4 linked regions of the Saccharomyces cerevisiae S288C genome follow. Changing the gene in region 2 together with the main gene of any one other region gives a genetic interaction. Each region holds a gene or a part of one and is shown on either strand. Other genes may lie near its edges.

Evidence for each region.
Region 1: mutations in QRI7 (region 2) and VID30 together harm fitness more than expected from each alone (negative genetic interaction), as found in Saccharomyces cerevisiae (2 studies listed by BioGRID).
Region 3: mutations in QRI7 (region 2) and DFG16 together harm fitness more than expected from each alone (negative genetic interaction), as found in Saccharomyces cerevisiae (2 studies listed by BioGRID).
Region 4: mutations in QRI7 (region 2) and APS1 together harm fitness more than expected from each alone (negative genetic interaction), as found in Saccharomyces cerevisiae (2 studies listed by BioGRID).

What each region holds. Positions count from the first base shown.
Region 1 is NC_001139.9:63,375-73,047, forward strand, and holds VID30 (glucose-induced degradation complex subunit VID30), read left to right. Parts: upstream 1-6,296; coding exon 6,297-9,173; downstream 9,174-9,673. Other genes in the region: chaperone EMC4, read right to left, coding at 1-246; YGL230C (uncharacterized protein), read right to left, coding at 398-841; SAP4 (Sap4p), read right to left, coding at 1,129-3,585; SHE10 (She10p), read left to right, coding at 4,224-5,957; OST5 (dolichyl-diphosphooligosaccharide--protein glycotransferase subunit), read right to left, coding at 9,375-9,614.
Region 2 is NC_001136.10:273,153-276,732, forward strand, and holds QRI7 (putative N(6)-L-threonylcarbamoyladenine synthase), read right to left. Parts: upstream 1,725-3,580; coding exon 501-1,724; downstream 1-500. Other genes in the region: Smc5-Smc6 complex subunit NSE4, read left to right, coding at 1-445; QRI1 (UDP-N-acetylglucosamine diphosphorylase), read right to left, coding at 1,996-3,429. UniProt on the Saccharomyces cerevisiae protein: Required for the formation of a threonylcarbamoyl group on adenosine at position 37 (t(6)A37) in mitochondrial tRNAs that read codons beginning with adenine.
Region 3 is NC_001147.6:382,675-391,688, forward strand, and holds DFG16 (Dfg16p), read left to right. Parts: upstream 1-4,150; coding exon 4,151-6,010; downstream 6,011-9,014. Other genes in the region: Hsp90 cochaperone STI1, read left to right, coding at 1-148; CIN5 (Cin5p), read right to left, coding at 859-1,746; YOR029W (uncharacterized protein), read left to right, coding at 1,926-2,261; HMS1 (Hms1p), read right to left, coding at 7,097-8,401. UniProt on the Saccharomyces cerevisiae protein: Involved in invasion during filamentous growth.
Region 4 is NC_001144.5:498,419-505,964, forward strand, and holds APS1 (Aps1p), read right to left. Parts: upstream 2,632-7,546; coding exon 2,161-2,631; downstream 1-2,160. Other genes in the region: ubiquitin-40S ribosomal protein eS31 RPS31 fusion protein, read left to right, coding at 529-987; UPS2 (Ups2p), read right to left, coding at 1,160-1,852; DPH5 (diphthine synthase), read right to left, coding at 2,842-3,744; TAG1 (Tag1p), read left to right, coding at 4,003-5,829; isocitrate dehydrogenase (NADP(+)) IDP2, read left to right, coding at 6,173-7,411. UniProt on the Saccharomyces cerevisiae protein: Component of the adapter complexes which link clathrin to receptors in coated vesicles. Clathrin-associated protein complexes are believed to interact with the cytoplasmic tails of membrane proteins, leading to their selection and concentration.

The sequences.
Region 1 (9,673 bases), on a different chromosome or scaffold from region 2:
TTTGGCTGGTTGTAACGCAATTTGCCATGCCTTCTGTACTTGTAATACTGTTATTTGGTTTTTTTGTGCCAAAGAAGTAGTTTGAGATGTAGCATCTTGTTGTTTTCTTGTAACATTTCCTTTAGAGGAATTACCTTCAAATCCTGGTGGTGAAGGTAATGTGTTTGAGTTCTGAATGTTGTATTTTTCGATATACTTGGTGTCCAATAGGTGTTTAGCCCATTCGTAAGGCTCCTGTTCACTCATTTCTGTTGCTTATATCGTTTGGCTTTATTTTAACCTTAACTGATATTATGTTCAACTTTTTTTCATTCTATTTATATAGAAAAGAATACGCTTTTTTTATTATTTATGAAAGGAACATGAAAAAACTACGAATGTACAAAAGCAGAGATTGCTAGAGAATACATTGGTCAAGAATTTTCGCATATGGAACGCATTGCTCTTTTAGATGGGCTGTTAAATAATCGTAATTTAGGTTAGTTATTGCCCTTTGCGTCTTCCGTGGAACAATGTTGGTCCAATAAATTATAAAGAAAAGAAATTGGATAGCACAAATAAAAGAGCAAGCGATAATGCAAAACATTAAAAGTCTGTTTTCCATTAGTTTGTAATATTCTGAGGTCATCAATAAAAACCATTTTTTCGTTCTTGTAAAATTGTATCTCTCATCTGTATTGGATTTTTCGACCATTTGAAAATCATCCTTGCTTTTTCCTTTATATTCAGTCGAGGAATCATTTGCTGTATTAGGCTCTGGTTGAGAAACCTCTTCAAGGCCCTTTTTTGGGTAGGCTTTCAATAAATGTAGAACATTGCCGGATAGTGTAATAATTCCCATTATTATGGTTTTGTTTTGCCTGGTTTGGGCCTGACTTTAGTTATATGATTATTTTTGTATAGATAGCTATAAGTTATTGAAAGTAAGCTAGACAATAATTTTTGGTGAATAGTTGGTGAACATTCCTGAACTACAAAGGACTATTGTTATATTTAGTTTACTTCAATTGGCCCCCAATAGGCTTCGTAATTTTTACATGTCACAAAATTAAATAAGGCAAAACGAGAAACAAAATATTAAAAATGTAGGAAAAAAAAAGTCAAAATTGGTTTGACGACTTAACCTAATCAATTTAAGTCGGAATGATGATCAACAATAACATCTTTAATTTTATCATGAATATCTAATTCGGTTAATTGACCCAATTCATCTATGAGCTCGGCAACTTTATCATGCAACTTAACATCCTCCTCGTGAACAATTTCATTCTCATCCATTGTGGATGGATGAGCTGGTTTACTCATATCAGCTTTTTCCAAAAAGTCCTGGTTAGTATTTTCATCGCTTTCGGCACAGAACTGGCCTCCACCAAGAATTATTGAACACATTGTCCTTGTTTCGTTCAAGATGTCACTAGAATATGACATCCAAACTTCATCTTGTAAGAAGGCATATATATCTGGAGCAATTAGATCGGTCTTATAAATTTTGGAATACTTCGCAATTTCTTCGGCAATTAATACTAATTGACCCATATAACCTAAATTTGTTTTCTCTTTTTCGTAAAATTCAAACGAATCCTTGTGGCCTTGTAAAATGAAATCAGAGATAATATGGAAGTCTTTAACAGGTAACTTTTGGTTGCTGCCGTACAAAGGTTTTGGGATAAATCTTGTAGACTTTTTGAAATCAAACAAAGAATAGACCAAAAATGAGTTATAAGAAAAATCCATTCGACCATTGAATATCTGCTGAATAATATCAAATACAATGTTGTGCCAAAAGTTATTCCAAGGATATCTTAAGAATAATTGTAGAAACTTTGGAAAAAACCCAAGGTCATGAAGTTTAATTTTGAATAAATCTCCAATGGTAGGGTTTTTACGTATTTTCAAATTTTGCGTTTCACTGACGTAAGGAATTTCAAAACTCATATCATCATCATCATCAATATTGTCATCAGATGTATCAAAAGTAGAATACAATTCATTATCATGAAACTTTTTTTTAATATTTTTTTTTTGTTTTTGGTTGTCATTACTGTCATTACTATCATTATTATTACATTTATCTTCTAATGTATTGGAAGTAATAGTATTATCATTTATATTTAAATTTTTCATGGCTTTCTCTAGTGAGTTTTGATCAAGAGTGTCCCTGCATTTATCTCTGGTACGTGCTATTTTTTCGCCTCTTTTTGAATTCATCAATCCCATATTTGAACAGTGTAACATTTCCGATATCAATTCTGTAATCTTGACTCTTTCAAAGCCCAAAGGCCTGAATGATTCATGCAATTGGTTTTCTAGTAGGTGATGCTTAACAGATGGAAGAGCTTTTGAAGCAGTGTCATGATCATCGTCATCATCATTTTCAAGTTTAATTAGTAATGCATAAAAATCTTCCATATGCATAGTGAGCTCATATAACAAATGGCCCAAATAGACTGGATCTCTTTGAGAAGGCGGATTGTCTACTATGGTGGTACTTAACAAATCTACTTCGTCATAGTCGGAATTATTCTTCCTGATCAACTCAATTATAATAGATACGGCAACTCCCATTGCATGGCCTCTTTGAAATAAGATTATATTAATAAGTTGGTCGACATATTGCGGAGAGGCAAGCTGTCTTGTCAATCGGTTAGGTCCGATCCACAAAGTATCCAGTTTAAAATTGGTGGAAATGCTGATCAGTGCTTTTAGAAGCTCTCCGCTACTGTTTTGAATACCAGGTGAGTATTTGCTATTTTCCAAGAGATTCAAACACTTAGGTATCAGATCCTGGTGATACAAGAAGTCAATAATGTTCGTAGGTGATTCAACTTGATCAGTCAGCATGATTTTAATGAGAAATTCAACCAAGGGTGAGACTTCAATATGATATAAGAACTTGTCCACAATGTTCGGTTGCGATTTGAAAAATTCCAAATAGCTAGATGTCTGTTCAAACAGAAGAGTTTCGTTAATCTTAAGGAAAACAGCCAAGATAGGACAATTTTCTGCCTCAATATTTTCAAACTGGAAAACCTCGAACAGAGAGGACAAAAATGGGGTATTTTGCACGAGTGCCTCCACTATGGGCGCACTTTTCGAACAAAAAATACTGGAAATAATGTTGACATACAGCATTGGGTCTTCATCGTCCTGATCTTCATATTCACCTGTTTGATGGAATGAATTCTCTAAAAGAAATGGGGTTCTATAACCAGTGCGGTCTATGTCCTTCAGGTAAGCCATCAACATGTCCACTAGGTAGTCCATGTGGCGGACCTGCTGGGAACGGTCGTCATAGAAATATCCCAAGCAAATGAAGTCGACGAGTCTGTCGTTGGCTGCTCCATTCAGTTCATCCAGCAAAGCTGTTTCCAACAAGATCCTATCAATAAATGACTGGTTAAGGTCACTCCTATCCCGAGACTCGGTACCAAATTCGGACTCTGACTCCATAGAAGGCTCATTCTTCTTGTCGTCAGTTGAAGAGGTCTCATTTCCCTCCAAACTACGAAAAATTAGATAGTACTCTTCAAGTATCGAATCAATTCCGGAATGACTCAGCGTCTCTCCAAAGGGCCATAGTGACATATTTTTATTTTATTTTAGCTTTATCGAAAAGCAAGAGAGCAGTAAACTGGACGGTATAGAAGAAAAGAGAACTTAATAACAAAAGACCAGATTGTCTATAACTTTATCTCACACCAAATACCAGGTTGTCCTTTTCCCGCTGGGTGAAGCAACCGTTTCACTTATTCGCACAATCCAATTAGTAGAACACAACACAACACAACACAACACAACACAGCACAACACGCTTACCAAATTATATTTACTACGGCAACCAAAAACCGACAGAATAAAAAACAGCCATCATACGTGGATGAACTCTTGGTTTATTGTCTGTTATTATCCTCGAGAGTTCTTATTTAGGGGATTTAGGGCTGGCATCAATACCCTAACTAAACCCTGAACTGCCCAAGGAACAATTTTCAAAAGTAAGAAATGTCCTATACGTTTCTATGTATAACCCTAAGATAGTCAGGTTTCGGAAATAAGGCGGATTTCTACGTACATGATGATAATCATGTATCAAAGAAAGGATCAACTTGAAGAACAGCCTTAAAGTAAGCGTAATGGGCATTCTGTTTCAACCACCATTTCTGAAGTACTTTATATCTTGGATGCACAAAAGCTGTTACATCTAAACAAGAACGCAGCGTAACGAAATGGGAAAGCTGATAAAGTTAATCACAACTCTGACGGTGTTGGTATCGTTGCTTCAGTACTGTTGCGAATTCAATAGTGGGAGCATATCGTGTGAACGCACGCAAACGCTTTGCCATTATACCAATCCAAGAGTCTGGAACACCTACTTTTCAAGAAATTGTGAATTATACAAAAATAAAGTTAGTCCCGGTTTCGATATAGTGGCGCGTAAATATGACACGGCTGTCAAACCTGTCATCGATGACGCTACAGTAAAAGTGAACAAGGTCGCTATACAGCCTGCATTCAAGGTCATCCATTCACAATGTAAGAAATGGAACTGTGGAAAGTATTACCAATTGGTCCGCTCCCCAATGGTCAAGACTAGACGATTTTTCTTCGCAAAATACAATGCTTTTGTGAAACCTAACTTAGACAAATTCTTTACTGCGGAGTTTCGCTCTCATTTGAAGGAAAGAATTTTAAAGTATAAAAATATAGGCCATTATTACTTTACTATCACTTCAAGATGCATCAAATCCAAATACGACTTTATTGTTGGTAATACAGAGGAAAAATTAATGGGAAAGTTCAAGAATAAGGACACGCATGGCATTCATGGTTCTGTCACACGTGAGCCTTCCTCGGAGGACATGGTTTTAACCGTAAGTACTATGGAGTCTGACGAAGAGGAGCTAACTACAACAAGTACTCAAACAGTGGTTGAAACAATTACTTTGGACCAGGAAGAGGCTAGCGCTGTTGCTAATCATGCGCACGACGATGAGGCTTCCACAGACGTTGAAGGCTCCACAGACGTCAATGTCAATGAACAGGCTCTGTTGCAAGAGGATTTTGACATGTGGAGTGAGACTATATTGCAGAAAACACAAGACGTCATACAGCTATTTGAAAAGGATGTTTCCAAATACATCAATGGTAAATTGGTTGAGGAGGCCAACCATTTTAAAGCCAAGTTTCAATCTTTAGATGATAAATCTAAGAAGTTCTTCTCCAAGATTTCGCTAGCCATTAACGATATTGAATGTGTGGAAGGCATTGATAGTGAAACTGGCAAGAAAATTTTCTTCGATAAATCTGGAAGTACTGAGATTTCTCAGTACATAACGAGAGAGTTAGTTCGTGAGTACTTCAACGAGACGCGCTCGACGTTAGACGAACTGACAAATGCTATGGAGAAAGATTTGAGCGAAATCACTGATGAAATTGAAAAAAAAGTTAATGCAATTAGAGAGGAAAACGTCGAGGTATTTGAAGAATGGGGTGATATCATTGTAAATGAATGGTCCAAAAGAATGGCTTATGTGGATGTTATCAACGCTCACATGGGTGCAGATGATGACACTACGCTTGATGAAGAGAAAGCAAAGTCTTCTGTTAACTGGAAGAAGTTTTTGAAGGGCAAGAAACAGATCATAGAATCTAGAGACAAGCTGGCTCACCATTCCGCTGACTTATCCCGTGTTAACGCGTTTAGGCAAAAAGTGCAAAAGAAGATATTATCGTTCACTCAAGAGAGTGGTGAGTTTTTGTATATTCTAAGATCGAAAGCCAACCTGCAATTTCAGGAACGTGAAAGAAAGGAACGTGAAAGAAAAGAGCGTGAAAAAGCTGCAGCAGAAGAGTTCCAAAGGCAGCAGGAGCTATTACGACAACAGGAAGAAGAAGACGAAGAAGACGTATCCTACACCTCTACTTCGACCATCACCACAACCATTACCATGACATTGTGATGAAATTCATGCGCTTGCTATACACACACACACACACACACACACACACACACACAATATCTATCTATATATATATGTATGTTCTTTATTGTTTGTCTTTACCTTTATATATAAACATATATAGCCATATAAGAATATAATATTACCACTCCACTGTATTTTGTATCCTGCCTATTTTTGCTAGATTACAGGACGCGCGAGCCTTTCAGGGGAGGGAACTGATGAATCGATCAACCAAAAGAAAGAGCCAAAGGATTGGACCAGAACTGTTACTGTTATAGCAGAAATATTAGTAGTACGTTAAAGCCAAGCGTCGAATTTCAGCATAATTAAGAGGAAATGTCTGAATATATGGATGACGTAGACCGCGAATTCATTAACTGTTTGTTCCCGAGCTACTTGCTGCAACAGCCTGTGGCTTATGATTTATGGATTTTATATTTGCAACATAGAAAACTCTTTCACAAACTGAAGAACACTAACTTAATCAACGCTGATGAAAATCCCACTGGCGTTGGAATGGGCAGGACAAAGTTAACTGCTTTAACAAGGAAAGAAATCTGGTCTAAATTGATGAATTTGGGTGTTCTAGGCACAATTTCGTTTGAAGCTGTCAACGACGATTACCTGATTCAAGTCTATAAATATTTCTATCCAGACGTTAATGATTTTACTTTGAGATTTGGTGTTAAAGATTCAAATAAAAATTCAGTGCGAGTTATGAAAGCTTCCTCAGACATGAGGAAAAATGCTCAGGAACTATTAGAACCCGTTTTATCCGAACGTGAAATGGCGCTTAACTCTAATACCAGCCTGGAAAATGACAGAAATGACGATGATGATGACGATGATGATGATGACGATGATGACGATGACGATGACGACGACGACGATGAATCCGATCTGGAAAGCTTAGAAGGGGAAGTGGATACTGACACGGACGATAACAACGAAGGAGATGGCTCTGACAATCACGAGGAAGGTGGAGAAGAAGGAAGTAGAGGAGCTGATGCTGATGTGTCCAGTGCACAGCAGCGTGCCGAAAGGGTTGCGGACCCATGGATATATCAAAGATCTAGATCAGCTATTAATATAGAAACAGAATCAAGGAATTTGTGGGATACATCTGACAAGAACAGTGGTCTACAATACTACCCCCCTGATCAGTCTCCAAGTTCTTCCTTTTCTTCTCCTAGAGTATCGTCTGGTAACGACAAAAATGACAATGAGGCAACAAATGTTTTGTCCAACAGTGGTAGCAAAAAGAAAAACTCAATGATCCCTGATATTTACAAAATACTTGGGTACTTTTTACCTTCTAGATGGCAAGCTCAACCAAATAACAGCTTGCAGCTATCTCAAGATGGTATTACTCATTTACAACCTAATCCTGATTATCACTCATACATGACTTATGAAAGATCAAGCGCTTCTTCTGCCTCTACCAGAAATAGACTGAGAACCTCTTTTGAGAACTCTGGGAAAGTGGACTTTGCAGTCACTTGGGCAAATAAGTCATTGCCAGACAATAAGTTAACTATATTCTATTACGAGATTAAAGTTCTCAGTGTAACGAGTACAGAGAGTGCTGAAAATAGTAACATTGTTATCGGATACAAGTTAGTAGAGAATGAATTAATGGAAGCGACTACAAAAAAGAGTGTTTCTCGTTCAAGCGTGGCCGGTTCTAGTAGTAGCTTAGGTGGTAGTAATAACATGAGTTCCAATAGAGTACCTTCTACTTCTTTCACTATGGAAGGTACTCAAAGGCGTGATTATATTTATGAAGGGGGCGTTTCAGCCATGTCTCTTAACGTGGATGGTTCCATAAATAAGTGTCAGAAATACGGATTTGATCTTAATGTATTTGGCTATTGCGGATTTGACGGTTTGATAACTAATTCTACAGAACAATCTAAGGAATATGCTAAGCCTTTTGGTAGGGATGACGTTATTGGTTGTGGCATAAATTTTATCGATGGCTCAATTTTTTTCACGAAGAATGGTATCCATTTAGGTAACGCATTCACCGACTTGAATGATCTAGAATTCGTCCCATATGTGGCCTTACGACCTGGGAATTCTATCAAAACAAATTTTGGGTTAAATGAGGATTTTGTATTTGACATTATTGGATATCAAGATAAATGGAAGAGTTTGGCGTATGAGCATATTTGTCGTGGACGCCAAATGGACGTTTCAATTGAAGAATTCGACTCTGATGAAAGTGAGGAAGATGAAACTGAAAATGGGCCTGAAGAAAATAAATCAACAAACGTTAATGAAGATTTGATGGATATTGATCAAGAGGATGGTGCCGCTGGTAATAAGGATACAAAGAAGCTTAACGATGAGAAGGACAACAATCTGAAGTTTCTTTTGGGAGAAGATAATAGGTTTATAGATGGAAAGCTAGTTAGACCAGACGTGAACAATATTAACAACTTAAGCGTGGATGACGGTTCATTGCCTAATACATTAAACGTGATGATAAATGATTATTTGATCCACGAAGGATTGGTGGATGTTGCAAAGGGGTTTTTGAAAGATTTGCAAAAAGATGCGGTTAATGTCAATGGGCAACATTCTGAAAGTAAAGATGTTATCAGGCACAATGAAAGACAGATCATGAAAGAAGAACGTATGGTAAAGATAAGGCAAGAATTAAGATACTTGATAAACAAAGGTCAAATTAGCAAATGCATCAATTATATCGATAACGAAATTCCAGATCTGTTAAAAAATAATCTAGAATTGGTATTTGAGTTAAAACTAGCGAATTATCTGGTGATGATTAAAAAGAGTTCATCCAAAGATGATGACGAAATTGAAAATTTAATTTTGAAGGGTCAAGAATTATCTAATGAATTTATCTACGATACTAAAATTCCACAATCTTTGAGGGATAGGTTTAGTGGACAATTGAGTAATGTCTCTGCATTGTTAGCATATTCCAATCCACTTGTGGAGGCACCAAAGGAGATATCAGGATATTTGAGTGACGAATACTTACAAGAGAGATTATTTCAAGTTAGTAACAACACAATACTAACATTTTTACATAAGGATAGCGAATGCGCATTAGAGAATGTAATATCAAACACTAGAGCTATGCTTTCTACATTACTTGAGTATAACGCGTTCGGTTCAACCAACTCTTCAGATCCAAGATATTACAAAGCTATTAACTTCGACGAAGATGTGTTGAATTTATGAGCATAAAACAAGCACCTTCAAACAACAAAGCCATGTGATATCAGTCATTATCTTCCCAAAAATCGCATATTAATATGTCTTAAACCGTTTATATAATGAAATTTACTTGACACCTTTCTTTTTAATATTCTCATCCAAAATACTTCTTAAGTATAGTATATAATTTCATCGATAATTCCTTTATAGGCCAACGAAGAGCCACTAGACGTAGACACCGAAAGAATTCGAAGCAAAAACAGTGGTCAAGCCAGCAAACAAGCTGCCAATTACACTTAAAATTGTGTAGAAGAAGAGTTTCTTAATGTATGAAGATTTAGAACCGACGGCGAACAGGGCAGATGATAATACAGCTAATGTAACGATTAAACCACAAATTGCAAATTTTGGTTGAGTGTCTAAGTGGATAAATGGCTGGAAGCTCTTTGAGGAATGGAACTCTTTCTTAAGTGATTACACAAATGCCGAGAAGGCGAATTGGCTATACTTGTTAGTAATTATGA
Region 2 (3,580 bases):
ACGAAGAAGGAATAATGACCAAGTTGGTGAAAAGATCACCGCTGAGAAAATCACTCAGCATTCTTTAAACTCCACACAGCAAGAAACTACCCCTGAACAGGTCAAGAAATGTTTCAAAAAGCTTTCAAAAAAATTAGGCCCAGAAGGTTCCATTAATCTTTTTAAATTTATTATAGACCCAAATTCATTCTCGCGATCCATCGAAAATCTTTTCTATACCAGTTTTTTGATCAAAGAGGGAAAACTATTGATGGAACACGATGAAGAAGGTTTACCCACAATTAAGATAAAACAAAGCATAAGTCACACAGATTCAAGAAGTAAAGAAATTGAGAGACAAAGGCGTCGTGCCGCTCATCAGAATCACATTATTTTTCAAATGGACATGCCTACTTGGCGAAAACTAATAAAGAAATACAACATCACTTCACCATTCTTAGACTAACAGCGATAGAGCGCTGCATATAATATGTACAGTTTTTTTTTTTTTTTTTTTTTTTTCATAGCTGGTCCGTTCTCCAACCATCAACACTTAATAGGTCATTCAATGGCCATTGCCTAATTGGACATATATCTAAATCACTAACTAATCGTAAGCTTTCCCATATCTCGATACCTGCCCAGCCGATCATAATAGAGTTGTCACTACAAAGGTCCATAGGAGGATAATAAAAATTAAAAAAGCTTGTGGAGTTCAACGTCCCCAATTCCGTTTCTAATTTTGTTCTCAACCTTTGATTACTACTCACTCCACCAGAACATACAAATTCACGCACGTTTTTAAACTTTTCCGGTTGTGACTTGAGCACGTGCTTCAGTTTATTTATTATATGGTCGAAAACAGATTCCTGTACTTGATATGCAATTGACCGTATTTCGCGTTCTGGCAGTTCCTGGATTTCTGTTTTACCTAGTTTTGTCAAATTAGTTCTTAATGCTGTGATAAATGCTGAAAACGAAAACGAAAGCATGTTTCTTTTACTAGCGCTGTTTTTTAACGGACTGGGCATTTCTAGTTTTAAAGCAAAATCTTGGTCGTTAATATCTTGATTAATAAATTTCTCCATTTCTCTAGCGATCATTGTTCCCTTGAATCCAAGCTCTCTGCCACATTTATCTAATGAGTCACCCACTGCAATATCGATAGTATCACATAATATTTCGTGATCGTCAATTGCTCGTGACAAAACAAACGTAGTATGACCACCACTAACCAGCAGGCTAACAAAGGGAAATTGAGGCACTTTTCCATTTGTACCCATTCTTGGTATCAGCAAGTGTCCCAGCATGTGATGCACACCAATCAGTGGTTTGTTCCAGGCAACAGCTAAACCTTTTGCAAAATCTAATCCTCCTGATAATGAACCAGGCATACCAGGGCCTCTTGTAACACATATGAGATCAATTCCTTCTCTCGCATTGCTTTCTATCAGGGCTCTTTCGGTTAAGGGTCCTATCCGAGCTTGGTGATGGATATGAGCCTTTGTTGGTATAATACCTCCTTCGTCAATACTATCTAAAGTATCTTTCAAATTGGCTAGCACATTAGGAGCTGCACTTTTTGAGAACCTGTCCAAAACTGAAACGCATGTATCATCGCAAGAAGTCTCAATGGCTAAAACTTTATAGCCTTTTCTTAACTGTATTGGTCTGTTGAATGCACGCCTCTGCCAAATTCTATAGTTATCGAGGAGAAATCTTCCGGTTCCTTTTATTGATATCATAATGAAAAAAAAAGTTTCTATCCTTTCTTCTACTCTACTTATTTCAGAGCTTGAGAATCGCTGTTTGCTTTAATTTCATTGTCAATTAATCATCGCGCAATGAAGATGCCACTCTTTCCATTGGCAGAGCGGATCCGCCAAATAGAAATTACATAAAACAAGTAATTTAGCTATTTTTCAGAGTACGAAATATTTTATTATATATATTGAATCACAATTACGAGTACTTTTCAATTACATGTTAAAAGTGCTTCATAAGTAGCTCAAACAGTTATTTTTCTAATACTATACCACTTCTGTCAAAGACTTTACCTTTGAACTGGGATAGATTTTCACCTGCATAACTCAATTTGCTGGAAACTTCGACTAGTACCCCATCTTTTACAATAGCGCCTGCATCTTCCAACCACGAGGTTCCTAGTTTCAAATATGCTAGTCTGCTGGTCTCAGGATTATCGTTCTTAGAACCAGGACCGTTTTTTAAAGGTGAAAATTCTTTGCATCTATCTACTTCTAAGCACCCAAACTTGTTCAGTGGTACAGTGTCAAAGACATCAAATATGAATTGCTCTAATTTTATACCGTTTGGTTCGGTAGGCTTAGTGTACTTGCCGGTAACACTATCATAAGCTGGAATTTTCTTCTTCGCAATGTGATATGGCATATTCTCACACCACTGATCCAAATCACGTTTTAGTAAATCCACTAGGTAATAATGATTTACAATGTTGCCTGCGCGTAGTTTTAATAAGCCATCTTTATCCTTTGCTTCAGCCAATTCATTGGAAATTTCAGAATATTCTATGACACATGGTTTCTCGTTTTTAGTAGCAATTAACCCAACTGATTCATGCGCATCTCTCTTTCTAACGGCTTTGGTGGCCAGTTCGAAGCCATGCTTGATGGCAAAACCAATAAATACAGGGTCTGCGATTTTAGATAGGACATTATCGACACAGTACATGTAAACATGCTTGATTCCTCTCCTATCAAAGTCTTCGTTCAACTTGTTTTCCTTGATGGCACGGTAGAGTCCACCATTTCCATCTGGTGATTGAGATAGGTTTACTGGGTCTTTCATTAGGAAATGCTTCCCGGTTAAATCAAAGGCAGGCAGGGTTCCCTGGTTGAAGAACGTAATTTGTTCTTTATTCAAGCCAAAATAATTGTGTTCTTGAAAGTATGCCTCAGTAGCCGCTCTAGTGGGGCCTGATGTCATAATATACCAAGGAATTTCTACCTTTTTGTCCTTTACCATATCTTGCAACCTGATCAACTTTTCAGCTTGAATTTGAAAAAGAGATTTCTTAGAAGGCAATCCAATGTCGTAACAGCCCTTTGGTTGAGAGGATCCTAACCGCGTACCTTGTCCGCCAGCCATTAAAATCACTGCGACTTCACCCTTGCCAATAGCTTCAAGGCCTAAACGCCAGTATTCATTTTCTTTCTTACTGTTGCCAATAAGCGACTCGTACGAAGTAGGGGGCAATGGTGAAATTTCGACGCCAGTATCCTTAGAAGAGTTAGCTAGTGAGAATTTAATAGCATTTTGACAGTCTTCCAGTAGTTTTGCAGGGGACCTCTTGGAAGATATTTGCTCCAGGTTTGAAAGCAATTCTTCTTGGTCTTTGCGAGACAAGCTTTCCCAATTGTGGAAAAGTTGACTTTGTCCGGCTTCAATGAATAGCTGTTTTGTGTCAGTCATAGTTGCAGTTCGATCTGGTGTTCTCCTTTATATCTGCGTTTCTTTGCAGCGTTCTTGCTTGACGGTTGATCTTGGTTTTGTGTGGTAAAAGTATGCCTTAACGTAATAGGCAATTTTTCGTATTACGCGTAACTTTTTATTCTATAAAATG
Region 3 (9,014 bases), on a different chromosome or scaffold from region 2:
TGCGATCATGCAAGATCCTGTTATGCAAAGTATTTTGCAGCAGGCCCAACAGAATCCCGCTGCTTTACAAGAACACATGAAAAATCCAGAAGTATTCAAAAAGATTCAGACGTTGATCGCTGCTGGTATCATCCGGACTGGCCGCTAAAAATAATACGAAATATAACTTTATTATCTTGAATTCTTTTTTTACTGCTTTTTCATACATACGTACATATAATGATCTTCTCACTTAGTATACTAAATTTGTTTCATGCTATGGTTGATATTTGAGAAATCGGAACTTGAAGATAATAAGTTTCTTGGGCGAGGGAAAAAAACATCGGACCATCTTTCCTGTCGTTCTCCGGATCAGCCCTAGGAAATTTCTGGCCGGAACTCTCCTTAGAAACAAAAAAAATTACGTAATTGGCACAACTTTACGTCAACAATATTCATTACATCAGAATGCGAAAAAAAAAAAGCGAGAATATCTAAGCTCCATGACAACATTCGCTAAGCTGAAAAAATTAGGGAAATAAACTTTTCAAATTGCTATGATATAATTTCGTTTCTTACTATGTATTTTCTACGTATATTTTTACACTCTTGACTCTTTCCTTTTTAGTAATGTGCCTGCCATAAAAAAAGGGAGATGAAGGAAAGAAAATAAAAATGGTGAAAATTAAGCTTTGTTGATTACCTAATACAAGCTGCCTGAAACTAGAAACCATAAATTGTTTCCTATCTCGTAATATTTTCGCCACCTTAGGCATCAATTTTCTTTGGAGAAGGGGGGTTGCATCCCCCTGAAGAAGTGCTTGCCATGTGCTTTGAAAACTTTTAAGATGTTACTAGTACTAATAATTATTCATTATTTTATTCTTTTAATTTCGACTTTAATGATTCAATCATTTTTTTCAATTCACTGTTTTCTTTCATCAAGCCATCGAATAGTTTTGATTTTTCTTCGAGATTTTTGATGTATTTCTCACGACGCTGCCTAAACGCCTTTTGTGCGCTTCGATTTTGGGCAGCTCTCTTAGTATTTCTTAAAGGTTTGCCTGTTTTACCGATCAACTGGCCATCATTGTTATATCTTTCGCCTTCGTTAAAAACCTGCTCTGAAAGAGAAACGGAAACTCGACGTCTTTCCTCTGAAGGAAGGTTAGTCGTGGCACTATTTTTTCTCGTAGCTGGGGTACTATTTGAGGGAAAATATGAAGCTGCCGGTTGGCTAGTAAATGTAGATGCAGTAGTGTAGGAAGATTCAAATGGTGCGTGTGATGCAGTGGTGTATGGATTAGAATTGAAGTGACAGTTTAAATGAGTATCTGATAGTTGCGGTCTAAGCTGGTATGTGTTCAGTCTTGGTAAAGACGGAGGAATCAAATTGTTTATTGTCACCGGCCTTGCAATATGTGGGCCCGCAGTATTTGGAACATCCTCACACAATGCTCCTATATTAACAGAATTTCTTCTTCCAGAAAGATCTGTAAGTGAGCCAGTTCTGCTCTCATAACCAGGCTCTTCAAGTGTTGCAATCTTTGGGAGCTGAATTTGCGGTAGAGTCACATTCGAAGCAACTACCGAAATTGTATGCAAATCAGCCTTGTTCTCCTCTTTAATAAACCCTACAGGAGGGCTTGGCACGAAAGCGGTATCCGTCATTTTTTTTGGCTTTGTACTGTCTCTTGTCATTGAATGGGAAGCTAAAATAGGTTGAAAATTAAAAGGATGATTGTCCATTTTTATTTGCATTAACATTTGAGTAGGTTTTTGGTTTTCCTTCTTGTTCCAAGCTGTTATTCTATATCTATGATGAGATTAACGGCTGCAAAAAGTCGTAGTTAATCAGTAAAATTATCTAATGAATTATTTGTAAGCAGAATGCGTGAGAAAAAATAAATCACCCAGTTCCTTTTTTATATACATGAACTTTGGTAATGATGCAGACATCAACTAGTTCTCGAGTGAGGAGGTATCCTTATCAAATCACTCTCTCCCTAGTATTGAAAGGGTTTTACTCGCCTTCTGCTCCTAGTTACGATTTTTGCCTAGTACTCCTTCCTACCCTCTTCCTCATAGATTTAATGCCAATAAAATTTTCTTTGCATGTCACCATTGGGATCGGTGAGGCAACTCCGGTTCCGATTTTTTTTTTTTCAGCGCCGTGGTATTTCCGCTCGGGAAATCCCCTCCCGCATTGCGTCAGAGCTTATCGATGTAAAGTTAATTTCCCTTTTTTTCGGTTGGGCTGGAGCACTTGGTTGCATTACTAACAAATTAACGAACAATAGTTTTAAAAGCAAGTGCCTTAAGATTTAGGTCATTCCTTCGAGGATTTCTGGGAACAATTTAAAGAATAACAGAAACTTTTGCGGCCCTTTTCATCATCTACGTGTTTTGTAAGAATGAGATCACATTCCACGTAGCCCTAAACATTGGCGTACATTTCCACTCGGAACCTTTTCTCGACCCCTCTCCGTACGCCAAGTTTTACCTTGAGGAGTAAGTCGTCAAAGGGGCGTGGGGCAGCCATTTCTTAGGAGGTGGGAAGACATGGCAGTGAGTGGGCCCTATGATTGCTGCTGCAGGGGACTTTTCAGGATAATCATGTAAACGATAAAACGGAAAAACAAAACTACGGACGTTGTTACCTTTCCATTTTGAAATGTTTCTCCGAAAAAATACCATTTTGCACAGTTCAACATTCTTGATGGCAAAAGCGAAGCATTGCGTCAACGGGTTAGATAAGTCATTTACTGTCAATTAGTACCAATACCTGTCTTTGCTCACCGAATGGCACTATACAGTGACGTTAAGATCTTGTAGTTGTTTTTCAAGAAGGCACTAAATAAGGTAATATATGGTGCCTTTCGCAATGACTCGTGTATCTGGCAGATCTATAGCTGCACACCTGATTTTTTTGCTATATTTGAATCAGGAGTAAGTTTGAACCATAATCATTCCAATTCAGTTTGATAGTACCTTTTTTTTAAAATTTTTGAAAGAGCTATCGCTTAGCTATCGGCGGGCATATTGAATTGCGCAGTAGATGAACATTTCACTAGTTGTGGCCAAAGAAGTTAGTTAAAAAGTGTAAATATGTCACAGTACTTATCCTTCTCTAAAGAATTAGTTTATTAAAAGCAGCAACAAGAAGAATGACTGTCAACCATTTTTAGGTCATTGCAACAAATCTCAAAATACGCTTTTATAGATAATCTAAGAAGATCGTTATATGGGAATACTAACAGTGAGAAAATGGAAGAAACGGGTTAGCGTAGAAAATTGTAATTAAAAAACAACAGTTTTAAGAAGGTGGTGGGCAATTAATACTTGAGGATTAATACTTAGAGCTTATTCAAAAAGAAAAGATAGAATTTCATGTAATACATGAGAACAATGTAAGGTTTTTAAGGTAACGAGTAACTAAGTTTTGAAATATCTTCACTAGCCTTGCAATCATCTTTTAGCTTTTCTATTTGCCGGATTCTTTACAACATAATCACGCTTTCTTCTAGTTGTAATTTTCCTTCTAGATGTCATTATTTCAACCGATGTCATTAATATCCTTTTATGGTGTTTACAAAAAGAAAGTTTCAAGTACCGCTCACCTACACTACGTTGTAATTCTTAGATACATAACTTTAGTTTTGTCGCCTATGTGCACAGATAAACAAAACAACCTATAAAATTTCCGTTGGGCCCTTTTGTCCCTGATTTCTGGTGTGTAACCCATTTATTTCTGTCCTGTAATAATTCGTCTTCGGTGATTGCCATATATACACAGTTTAGCTTTACTAACTATAAACATCCGAGAAGAAGAAAAAAGAAGGTCTGATTTCTATCAAACAACATGTGAAGATAACACAATCGATGTGATTGATATCAGATTTACTAGCCCCGTTGGATTGAAAAATCTGCAAGGAAGGGCTAAAGAGCAATATACTTTCTTTTGTTGTTTCGGGGTGATGAGAAAATTGTAACTTTTTTTTTTAACTTGGCGAGAAAATTGACTGGAAGAAGTGTCAAAGATAAGGCTTCTATCATATTCAAAACAAGTACCACCAAATGGCAGCTCAACTCCGAAGGCTCAAAAACAATACTTATTGATATTGCACTCACAAGCATTTTTTGTTGCGGAACGTCTTTACGTGCAAGATTAATGATCATAAGATTGCATTTTTACTACCTCCTCACTTTAGTTTACCATTTAGGACTTGTAGGTGCGTATGAAAAAGCAGCAAGAAAGAGAATTCAACCTCCCGATTTGATACCTGGTCCTCCGGGACATAAACTTGGTGATGAAAGACCACCGCATTACGACCACCGGCCACCTTATAAAAAACACATCGACAACATTCCAGCTTACAATCTGACTGATTTGATAGATGATAAACTACTAAATAAATATGAAAACTCATGCACGGTAAATGTATTGACAGGTGGCTTCATCTCTCTAGCAAGTAATTCGTGGCACTTACGTGCTTATAATTACACTTTAAATTACCCATCCTTTTTGATCCGATGCGATAATGGCAGTGCAAATCCTAATTTCTCTCATGTCTTACAAGACTTTGTTTATGACATCAACAACAAATTCAACGTTCAAGATGACAGTAGTAAATACATCGGAAAAGACCCATTTCCCTTAGGAATGATAATGATCACCTTTGCTTCTGGGTGTATCTGTGTGGCAACATGGATGCTATTTTTGGTTGTCTTATTACTGCCATCCGATAATCATAATAGAAGAAATAAAGTTGTACATGTTTACGTCCTTTTCTCTGCGATTATAAGAACTGTATTTCTAAACGAGACTATAGCCGTCATATTTGACAGCCAATATCACGATGACTACCAGGATGCGAGCCAATTTGAATCGTTCATCGTAGAAACTGCACCATATAAAATATGTGAATTAGTTGCAAATATTTTGAGTGATATAAACTGGATTTATATTGTTCACTACTTACAGTCCAATTATGGAAAACCAACTTGGAATTGGATCCCATTTAAAATGAAAAAGGGGACACATATCATAATTACCGTGGGTTGCTTCCTCTCACTAGCCGATAACATTTTATTCGCAAACCTTCTTTGGAGAAAGAACCTTGTAGTTTTGAAGGTATTTTACAAGCTAATCGAATTACTGATTTACACAATTTTCATCTCCATTATTTGTTACTTCACATGGCATAATTTTGCTTACATACTTTTACCGAAAACTGCTGAAATTAATACGGACGGTAAGTGTAAAACGAAATTGAGAATTCTTTGGGAAAATTATCACGAAACTATACCATTATTGGCGTATAATATTCTTATATTTATTTTATTCTATTTCACCACAATTTTTTTCGCTGCTTTCACCAAACATGTTAGAGGTTGGACATTTAACTTTGTTCATCTTTTGAAAGTTTTAATAACAGTGAACGTTTGGGGCTTAATTGGAGTATTGGAAAAGAGGGAGCTGCACATAAGCAAAAAAACAGTCCTTGGACGAAAAATTAACAATAGGGACAAATTTTTCGCCAATCCAACAGTCAATTATTACGGAGAAGATTTAGGCAAGCATTTAAGCGCCATAACGTTAAACAGGGATTTAAACACTACTAAAAGTAACACTACTTCCCACGATTCATCAAGTTTAGTAGGATCCCCTTCACCCACCTGGAAATCTCCAATCGAAAGAATAAGGGACAGAAGAAGAAGACATAAGATAATGAAAAGTGAGAATAAATTTGGGCAAAATCCCAGTTTTGGAAGTAAATCGAATGGCAAACCTAATACTAAAACGACATTATCCAAATATCGACAGCTATTAAGGAAGCCTAGGCGAAAAACCAATTCATATGAACCAAAAAATGGCATTGGACAGAATAAAGAAGGCTCAACTGTTAGACCAGGAGCCGACAAACATATTAGAGATTCCAATTATCTAGCTACAGACATCAGTGACAACGAAAGTATGGAAACCGAACTTCGAACCAACCACATTTATAATTACGAAAATAGTGATTAAGGCAGGCCCAGTGGACGAAAAGACATAACTGCAGAAGTACAGCTGCCTTTATTTCTTGTGGTCATTTATTGCTTTTATTTTCAAGTCAGATATACAAGAAAATCAAATCCCATCGTCAACGTCACGTATAAACGATTAATTTACAGTAATACCATACTCTACCAACATTATTTTAGTCCGACGTTCAGTCCTGTAGGTGTTCCAAATCCTTCTGGCATTGACTTCTGTGCAGAAACCCTTCAAAATGAGTTCCACTTTACGTCAGATCGCATAACAACCGGTCATATATTTTTTTCTTTTGCTAAACCCCCTACTGCAAGCACTTTTAAGAAAAAGAACAATAAATGCGTCTTTATTGCTGTGTGGAAGTGATTTTTGTCTTTCGGACAAAAAAAGGATAGGGATGCGAGAGGGCTGTGAAGTAGTGATCAAGCGGGGCCTATATAAGAAGGGCGCACATCGTCCCCCCTAAGAATAGCGAAGCGATATTACACTGAACACTACAATGTCAAATAGTACTCAATAAATATGACTGTAAAAATATGTGACTGTTAAGGCGAATGTTGTAAGGACTCTTGTCATTGTGGGAGCACCTGCCTTCCAAGCTGTTCTGGCGGTGAAAAGTGCAAATGTGATCACAGCACCGGAAGCCCTCAATGTAAGAGTTGTGGTGAAAAATGCAAATGCGAAACCACGTGCACTTGTGAAAAGAGTAAATGCAATTGTGAAAAATGTTAGGTGACCCCTACTCTTTACTTATCATAAATACATCATCATATTTTACCCTTAATTAACAACATTTATTTAACTGCATGAACTAAATATAAGGTATAGTTTCTTTTTCCCGGAATCTTTTTTTTAGATCGTTATTATTTAGACGGCACTAAGAGAAATAAATTAAACTAAATTACGGTGCGGAGCTCAAGGCATCTGCGAGTGTTTACTAACACTAAAAGAGATGAATAAAATAGATTTCTCAATGCAAAATTAAAATTACAATGTTACGCATACACACAAGTACAGATTTGTATATAGTATTTCTTCTTCGTTTTATCTGTCGTGTTGAAACATTTTGTTGTTCAAGTATTAAAAGTCTCCTGCGTTGTTAAAATCCATATCATGTGAATTGTTGGTGCCGCTCATGAGGCCGTTTTGATGTGGAATATTATATTGAATGTTATGCAATGGTTGTTGTTGTCGTGGCTGCCGCTGCCGTTGGCGTTGGCAGCTTCTGGTTTGCTTTTGTACTTGTTCACTACTACTGTTGTCACTCAACGGTTGAGATGGCTCGGTAAGATGGACGAAAGAATCCCGTGTGTCATTTGATAAATGTTGATTAGCCAAGCTTAGCTGTAGGCACTTTCTTTCTAAATGACAAATATATTCAATAGATTTCGTTAAAATGGACGCCTTATTCAATTTTGTTGCTGGCTCTAGGCCATCTAAGTCTGCTAGGTCTCTAGATGTAATGGGAAGATCGTTACATTTTTTATACGCTACTCGTAGCGTTGGGACAGTTCTCCTTAATTGTTCAATTTTATCATTAATATTGGAACGGTATTTCTTTTCAATTATATTGTGTGATACCCTTCCTGTCCTCACCCTTGTTATTCTTTTGGGTTTAACATGAAAATGTTTCCGTATAGGTGAAGTTTTTAACTTGAAGCTCATACTGTCAGCATTGTCAATATTCTCCAAATTCAAAGATGATTTAATCTCGTCTGCAGTAACTAAGGGAGACTCTGTCTTCGATAAAGGCAAAAAATTTTCAAAGCCAGACAATTGTTCCTTTTTCACGATTGAAGCTGCTGAAAGAAGACTCGAGTCCTTTTCAGATTTAAGATCGGTTTGCTTTACATTATCAATGTTTTCATTTTCCTCGCTACTAAAGACTTCCATGTTATCAATGTATTCTTCGCTGTCAATAGTATTGCCATTGTCTGTAGTCATTGTAGTACTACCCGTCGTTGTTGTAGGTATAGAAGCCAGAGCATCATTATAGTAATTACTATCAATTACTGGAGTGTGGCCTGAAGTATTAGGAAACGAGGAGTCACTATACTGGTCTGTGGCAGAATATGTGTTGTTCTTATATACAGGAGGCACGGGAGGTTGAAGATGGATGGGATGCTGAAATGGAGCGTAATAAGCATGCGTCGGAGGTCCTTGAGAACCCAAATCCTCGGTATTGTAATTTGGTGGCGGCACGTTGTAATTGTTACTTTGAAACATTAAATACATTTGGTTCGTGGTTACATTTACATTCTGCTCTTCGCTGCCATCTTGAGCACTTCTACAATCAAAAACCTTGATGGCGACTTTATTACCTAGGTCGTTCATTACAGAATTGCCATCCGAAGAACCAGAAAAAGGTTTTTGAAAATTTGGCATTTCCAATTTATACTCTTATCGTTGCTAAAATGAGTCGTGTACTGCAACTGCTCTATATTCTATATTCTAAGCGAATGGGTGGGTGGGTGTGACTAACTATTAAACTACCTAAGCGATCTCGAGAGCCAAGGCGAGTAGTAGAAATAAAACTAGAAGCGCGCTTTACAGGTTTGACCTTAAGTATGATGCGATAAGACACTTACATAGGACGATTTTTGAGGCTTACAATGTGTAACCAAGGTATATAAAAGGTGCTGCTGCTCTTGGGAAAAATACAAAGAAAACGCCTACGGTAAAAATACAATACCAGCTATTTTTTTCTTTTGAGAAGCCCACTCAAAGTAAAAATTAAACAATGATGGAAAAGAACGGAAAAAAGTTCAAACAGAAAATTAAAATACAGCAGAGAAGACTAGGCACAACAAAGTGGGATTGTGTCTACGCTTTTAACGGTGTACCCTTTTTCCTCGCCACGTTTTCACTCAGATCTAAATCTCTGCTGTAATTTACAGCGGCATAAGAAGGCACGTCCCCTGAAAGTAGGCTAGCCAGAAAACAAAAAGGCCAGAATCGGCGCGGAACTTCTCGTATCGAGAGCAAATGAGGGGTGCGG
Region 4 (7,546 bases), on a different chromosome or scaffold from region 2:
ATATCGCTGCTTGATTATTTTGTAGCAAATCAAAAGAGTGTTTCAAGTAAGTAAAAACATTTGAGCCTCCCCATTTGTTGAAAGGAGAGAAATTAAACTTGGTTGGGGTTAATTATTTGATGGGTATATTAATTTGCAACCGCAAGGTATCGATAATAAATATTCTACAAAACCTTTATCAATAGTGGTGAAGTCTTTAGTGCGATCTACCTGGGGTTAATGAACGAGAAGTTCTTGAGATATCTTTCCTGTTTACCTCCGTGCATCCTGTAAGGAATTGGGTTTATCATTTATCATTTATTTTAGTACAAACTTTTTTTTTTGGCCCGGGCGCACTTTTTCAAGCGGTGGGAACTCATCAAAATGAAAAACTAGATACTTTTAGACTTATTAAATGGTTTAAATATTTTGAGATGTTCGTTATATCAGAAACTTCCTTACTTCTATCTTTTATTCCAATACAAAGAAGTCACAAGATTACTTGGTAAGAAAGAAGCAGTTAATTTTTAATTTTGCCGACAAGCCAAGATGCAAATTTTCGTCAAGACTTTAACCGGTAAGACTATTACCCTGGAAGTTGAATCTTCTGACACTATTGACAATGTCAAGTCCAAGATCCAAGACAAGGAAGGTATTCCACCTGACCAACAAAGATTGATCTTTGCTGGTAAGCAATTGGAAGATGGTAGAACTTTGTCCGACTACAACATCCAAAAGGAATCTACTCTACACTTGGTCTTGAGATTGAGAGGTGGTGGTAAGAAGAGAAAGAAGAAGGTCTACACCACCCCAAAGAAGATCAAGCACAAGCACAAGAAGGTCAAGTTGGCTGTCTTGTCCTACTACAAGGTCGATGCTGAAGGTAAGGTTACCAAATTGAGAAGAGAATGTAGCAACCCAACTTGTGGTGCTGGTGTTTTCTTGGCTAACCACAAGGACAGATTGTACTGTGGTAAGTGTCATTCCGTCTACAAGGTTAACGCTTAAGTAAAGTATTTTTAAAACTTATATATTTTAATTGATCGTTAAATTTTGAAAAAGGCTTTTAATATTGTCATTATTTACTTTTCTATTTACAACAAAAGAACAAATGAATAGATAGACAGTAGAGGAATATAAGTAGTATGCAGTGCCATGCGGGATCAAGGAATTTGTATCTCTAATTTTCGTGGTTGTATGCGTCTCTAAACAAGTCAATATTTTGCTGTAAGATGGTTCTGCCGCTCCTTTCAGTTCCTTTAAGAAGCGTACCTGCAGATATTTTAACATCCTCCATGGTTTCATTGACTTTACTGACAAGTTGATTGCTCAAGTCATCAACATGTTTTTCCCAATTTTCACTAAATACTTGCAAAACAGCATCGAATCCCATTTTACCCTTTTTAGCGTTCTCGCAAAACCTTTGAACTGACCAATCTTCCATCTTATTACACAGCTTTCTAATGGATCCATATGCTGTAATTTGGGCTTCCTGCTGGAAAAGTGTTTTATTAGCCGAGTCATCGGGATGCGGGCTATATGTTACAGTTTCGTAGACTTTTAATAGATTGCACATCGTTAAATTACAGCTTCTCATGGTCAAGCTCTTTTTATTTAAGTCTACCACAGAAACTTCTCTGACATGACTCATATTGGTCCCTCCTAGCATCATCATGATCCATTTGGGAACACCTTGTTTTACAGTAATCAACCGTTCAGTAACTAAGACCTTACCTTGATCCTTCAATTCTCTTCTTAAAACGTCCACTGCGATGACATGTGTAGATATTTCATTTGGGTATTTTTTCCAGTTAGCGGCGGTTACCTGGTCCCATGGATAGTTGAAATCGTAACTGTTTTGAAACAATTTCATTATCGTCTTTTAATTATTCTCGATTATTTTATCTTAGTCTGAAATCTATTCTTTCGTCCTATTGATGCTTAAATTCAAAAATATGTACATCACTTCGCATGATAATTTTATCGCCTATATATTCTTTACATTTTTCACATTCATTCCTTTTTACCGCTCTGACCAATCAACGTTGTGCCGATGCTCGCAAAAGATATTTTTGTCCGGGCAACGGCTTTTGCGACAGACGGTAATAATAGTAGGGCCCCTTGCCCCCTTCTCATCTTATTCTTCTCCTTTCTTCTTCATTCCATTGTTTTTTAGTGGTCCTAACTCAATACCCTTTCAAGATTATCGTTGCTCTCCATGGTGTCCATCACGGTCACATGGTGCAGTACTTCCTTCCTACTGCTCTCTGCGATGGAGCCATCGCACATAATCATCTCATTCAAGATATCGTAGACCTTACTGAAGTTAAATATAATGTCTAGCTCACAAACATTGCCGAAATATGTGTCCATTGTTTCGACAAACCGATGGATAATTTCCAAGGTCAGCAGTTCATTGTCAACATCGGGCGTCATCCCAACAATAAAATATAGACTAGCATATCGCTTGTATACTACTTTGTGGTCATTATACTCGATGATGTTACACATTTTGGGTTTTCTTGCTAATATCGTAGGTGTCAAGTCTTTCACAATTTTTGCCTTTTCACCAGCGGACATTGCCGTGTACCATTTCTTTAATCTGATTTTTCCTTGCCTAGAAACCAGCAACAAATATTTTAATTGCGTCATCTTGTGTACCTGTGTATCCGTATATAATCTCCTCCAGGATCGCTCTTGTTCTTGGCTGAAATTGTTGTTATAACTTCTTGTTCATTCATTGCCATTTTTACACATATCGTTAGGGCCCGATTCGTTTGGGATCGAATTGTTACCCGACTGAAAGGATCTATTCAATATACATTATAAAAAAGAAACTACACATGAGCGTGTGCATTACCTTTACTCGTCGCTGTCGTCTTCTGTGGGTGGGACCCATGCCGCAGGTTTGAAGTACTCTTGGTCATTTGCCACATCTTTCCCAAACTTTTCTTTGTCGTCGGCAAACTCTAGCAGGTATTCCAGCTCCAATTCATGACATTGTCTGCCGAGGATGACAAGCGAATGAAGTGGCTCTCCTGAATCGTAATTGGCTAACTCACTTATGGTACCAGACTTAAAGCTTTGGGAGCTCGAGCCTAATCTACTAATTGCGACTGCTGGAGTATCAGGAGTGTATGCCTTTGTACCTCTTTTCTCTTCAATTTCTAATAATTGTTCACAACATTGAGCGATAGACATGTATCTTGGTGGTTCGTAGATTAGTCTGCCACGGGCCATATTTTCAATGCTTTGTTCCTTAACTTTGATGTCCAATAACACTAAAGTATGAAGGCCAATTTTTCTATTTTCCCAGATCTTGTCGTACCATGAGTCTGGTCTCCAATTATCGGTAAAGAAAACCATGGAAACGGTTTGACCGAAATTGTATAGTTGTAGGCCACATGCCCCAACTGCATTCATAACGGACGCATTATGAATAATTTCGACGGGAATTGCCTCACGTTTAGCTCTGAGAACTAAATCTGTGTGTGTGGTGGCACCAAATGGATCGCCCACGACCAAGAAAGCAACGTCTTCCTTATCGGCGTTATTTAGGATCTGCTTAGAACCAGTCTCAACTAATTCCCTATCAGCCAAGATGATCTCTTTACCATAGTAAGATTCTAACTCTTCTTGGCTTGCAGCCATTAGGATACTGGTATAGTGTTCTAGATAAACTCTAGAACATTTCTTAATAGCTTCCAAACCACGAACGGTAATGTCTGATTTGTACGAGAGACCAAGTCCGATCAAATAAAGCATTTTTCTCACTGTCCTTTATTCACTCTATATCCTGTTCGTTTTTACTTTGCTAACAACCACCAGAAAAAAATTTCATCCCATCGCTTAGTTAACTTTTTTTTAGAATCGCATGCATGGGGTTATTTAATTTTCTCTAAAGGTAAATGCGAAGCCCAGAATCAAAAAGATGAACTGTCTAGGGGAAGAAGACACAAGATCCTCCTGTTTTTGGGATTTTTTATTGCTTAGTGTAGTGCATTACTCCTTGAACCTTTTAAGATGCACACTAACTCACCCTTACGAGCGGATAACCAAGATCTAGAAACTCAACCACTGTTGAGACCAAACACTGAAGAAAGCCAACTCCTCAATGATGAAGTGAGAATCAACGTTGCAAATGAGACCCTTATTAAATCTCGTTGGCGGAGTATAAAGTGCTTAATTATATATCTGCTAGGTATTGTTTTATTAAGTTTCTTTGGCGTCAGCATAGTGCAGTATATTAGGGGACATGTGCCGCCCACAGATGTGATAGAAAAGAATCTAGTTCAAGTAACAAATTTCAAACTGGTGGAGTTTCAGCTTGATGGTTGGAAAGATAATATGGGCTCTGACCTGAACAATGATACAGGTAAGTATTTGCAGGTGTCTATACACTCTCAAATTTGGTTCGATTATGACAAATGGCCAGGAACGGAAAATGACTCGGACGCCAGAAGCCAACGTGACTGGATACGGTACATCAATGAAAAAGTTCTTAAAACCATTTGTATAGATCTGAATAACGTGACCACATTCGATGGAGATCTAGTGTTCAAGAATAAACTGGGAGATGTTGTTGGCATGGAACCCATTTGTTTTAATTTGGCTCACCGACAGATTAATAACCTACAGTTCAAAATTTTAGTTAAACCGTCTATTTGGAAAATCGTAAAAGTTTTGAAAAAATTTTGGAATAGGGATTTTGAATCCTTAAATATAAAATCGAATTTAGATATGACTATCTTCAAGAGAAAATTTGGCACGAGGTTTAATTTATTGAAACTTAATGACGAAATCTTAGATTGGAAAGATATTATTGATTGGGAAAAAATATCGGCAACGCCCCTTCGGATGATTCAAAATATGATCGATGGAATATCTCTTCAAGGATTTACATTGCGGGACTCCAGTTCTGATGGATTTCATGCCGATATGAGACTGAATCCGATCACGATTCTTGGAGGGGTGGACTGGCTTCACCTTCCGCCAGGCACGTCAATCCCTTTCATCAATTGGGAAATCAAGCTACCGGACTGTAACGGTGAGCCTGCTATCGCAATTCCAACCTTGTCTTGCTTTAACGAACCGATTAATCTGCACCACGACAAGGATAATATCGTCGTCTGTTTACAAAATGAAATTGAAGGTCCTCTGCCCGATGAACTACTATACCAAGAATGTCCTCAAAATAGTCTTACACCAATGAGCCAAATAGTGAATGCGGTCCTGAACCAGAACGAGACTGTTACGTTCGCAGCAAGAGGCCATGTCCTTGAAGATGGTATAGATAATAACTCATTGATTCCAGCAGACATGCTGGAGGATATTTTCCAAGAAGCATCGTTTATTCCCATTACTACCAATGCTACGTTTAACTCCAGTGAATTGATTCAAGAGTTTCAGATCAACGATCTTCAGCTACGGTGGGCAGCGCGCAAAAAGCTCAGTCTTGTGGGGACATTTTTAGGATTCTTTGATCTATCCTTCTACGAGACGCACCAGCAAGACCGAGTTCGCATCGATACCATTCGGGGACAGATCGATCTGTACCATAACGACATCAATTTCTTAAACTTACCCATGAAGCAATGGATCAACTCTTCATCGCACATTCTGCACGATGAGGACACAGGAAATACGCAGATGAAGCTTCAATTTGATCTAGAAAATGACGACATGGAAGTCGTCAATAGCTTGGAACTAACACGAACCCTGAACGAAATACTATTCCAGGGTTTTACAGTTATTCACTTTAATGCGACGATAGATGCGTCACTTACGACGGCATTGGGCCCGTGGGTTCTCACCGGGTTAGCCGGAGAGGGTGACACTTTGGTCACGTGAACGTCTATCTATTTATTTTTATAACTCCGGGATGTCATTGCCGGTGGTCCGAAAATCGGCAAATAAGGAAATAAGGGAAGAATATGCAGTAGTCAAATCATCAGTGTTCTCTTTGATACCTTTCAGGGCTAGGAATAGTGGGGGTGGAGTATAATATCAAAAACCGGACTTAACATTATTGGTTCGGTTGGAATTGGCTATAGGCAAACTAGTCTCCGGCATGATATATAAATGACAGCCTGCAATTGTATGTTACTACACTCTTGACTTGTCGACTACAGTCGCTGCTCAGGCACGAGAATAGGAGGTAAGAAGGTAACGTACGTATATATATAAAATCGTAATGACAAAGATTAAGGTAGCTAACCCCATTGTGGAAATGGACGGCGATGAGCAAACAAGAATAATCTGGCATTTAATCAGGGACAAGTTAGTCTTGCCCTATCTTGACGTTGATTTGAAGTACTACGATCTTTCCGTGGAGTATCGTGACCAGACTAATGATCAAGTAACTGTGGATTCTGCCACCGCGACTTTAAAGTATGGAGTAGCTGTCAAATGCGCGACTATTACACCCGATGAGGCAAGGGTCGAGGAATTTCATTTGAAAAAGATGTGGAAATCTCCAAATGGTACTATTAGAAACATTTTGGGTGGTACAGTGTTCAGAGAACCTATTATTATCCCTAGAATTCCAAGGCTAGTTCCTCAATGGGAGAAGCCCATCATCATTGGGAGACACGCATTCGGCGATCAGTACAAAGCTACCGATGTAATAGTCCCTGAAGAAGGCGAGTTGAGGCTTGTTTATAAATCCAAGAGCGGAACTCATGATGTAGATCTGAAGGTATTTGACTACCCAGAACATGGTGGGGTTGCCATGATGATGTACAACACTACAGATTCGATCGAAGGGTTTGCGAAGGCCTCCTTTGAATTGGCCATTGAAAGGAAGTTACCATTATATTCCACTACTAAGAATACTATTTTGAAGAAGTATGATGGTAAATTCAAAGATGTTTTCGAAGCCATGTATGCTAGAAGTTATAAAGAGAAGTTTGAATCCCTTGGCATCTGGTACGAGCACCGTTTAATTGATGATATGGTGGCCCAAATGTTGAAATCTAAAGGTGGATACATAATTGCCATGAAAAATTACGACGGTGACGTAGAATCAGATATTGTTGCACAAGGATTTGGCTCCTTGGGGTTAATGACATCTGTGTTGATTACCCCGGACGGTAAAACCTTTGAAAGCGAAGCCGCCCACGGTACAGTAACAAGACATTTTAGACAGCATCAGCAAGGAAAGGAGACGTCAACAAATTCCATTGCATCAATTTTCGCGTGGACTAGAGGTATTATTCAAAGGGGTAAACTTGATAATACTCCAGATGTAGTTAAGTTCGGCCAAATATTGGAAAGCGCTACGGTAAATACAGTGCAAGAAGATGGAATCATGACTAAAGATTTGGCGCTCATTCTCGGTAAGTCTGAAAGATCCGCTTATGTCACTACCGAGGAGTTCATTGACGCGGTGGAATCTAGATTGAAAAAAGAGTTCGAGGCAGCTGCATTGTAAACTTACTCAATGACAGATTGATTTATTTATATTATATATTCCCTTTTTATCGAAAAACTTTTAGTATTTTCTACTCGTAACATATGATCTTCTGTTCTCACTGAAAATTTTTCTTTCTTCTTTTCCCTCTTCGCA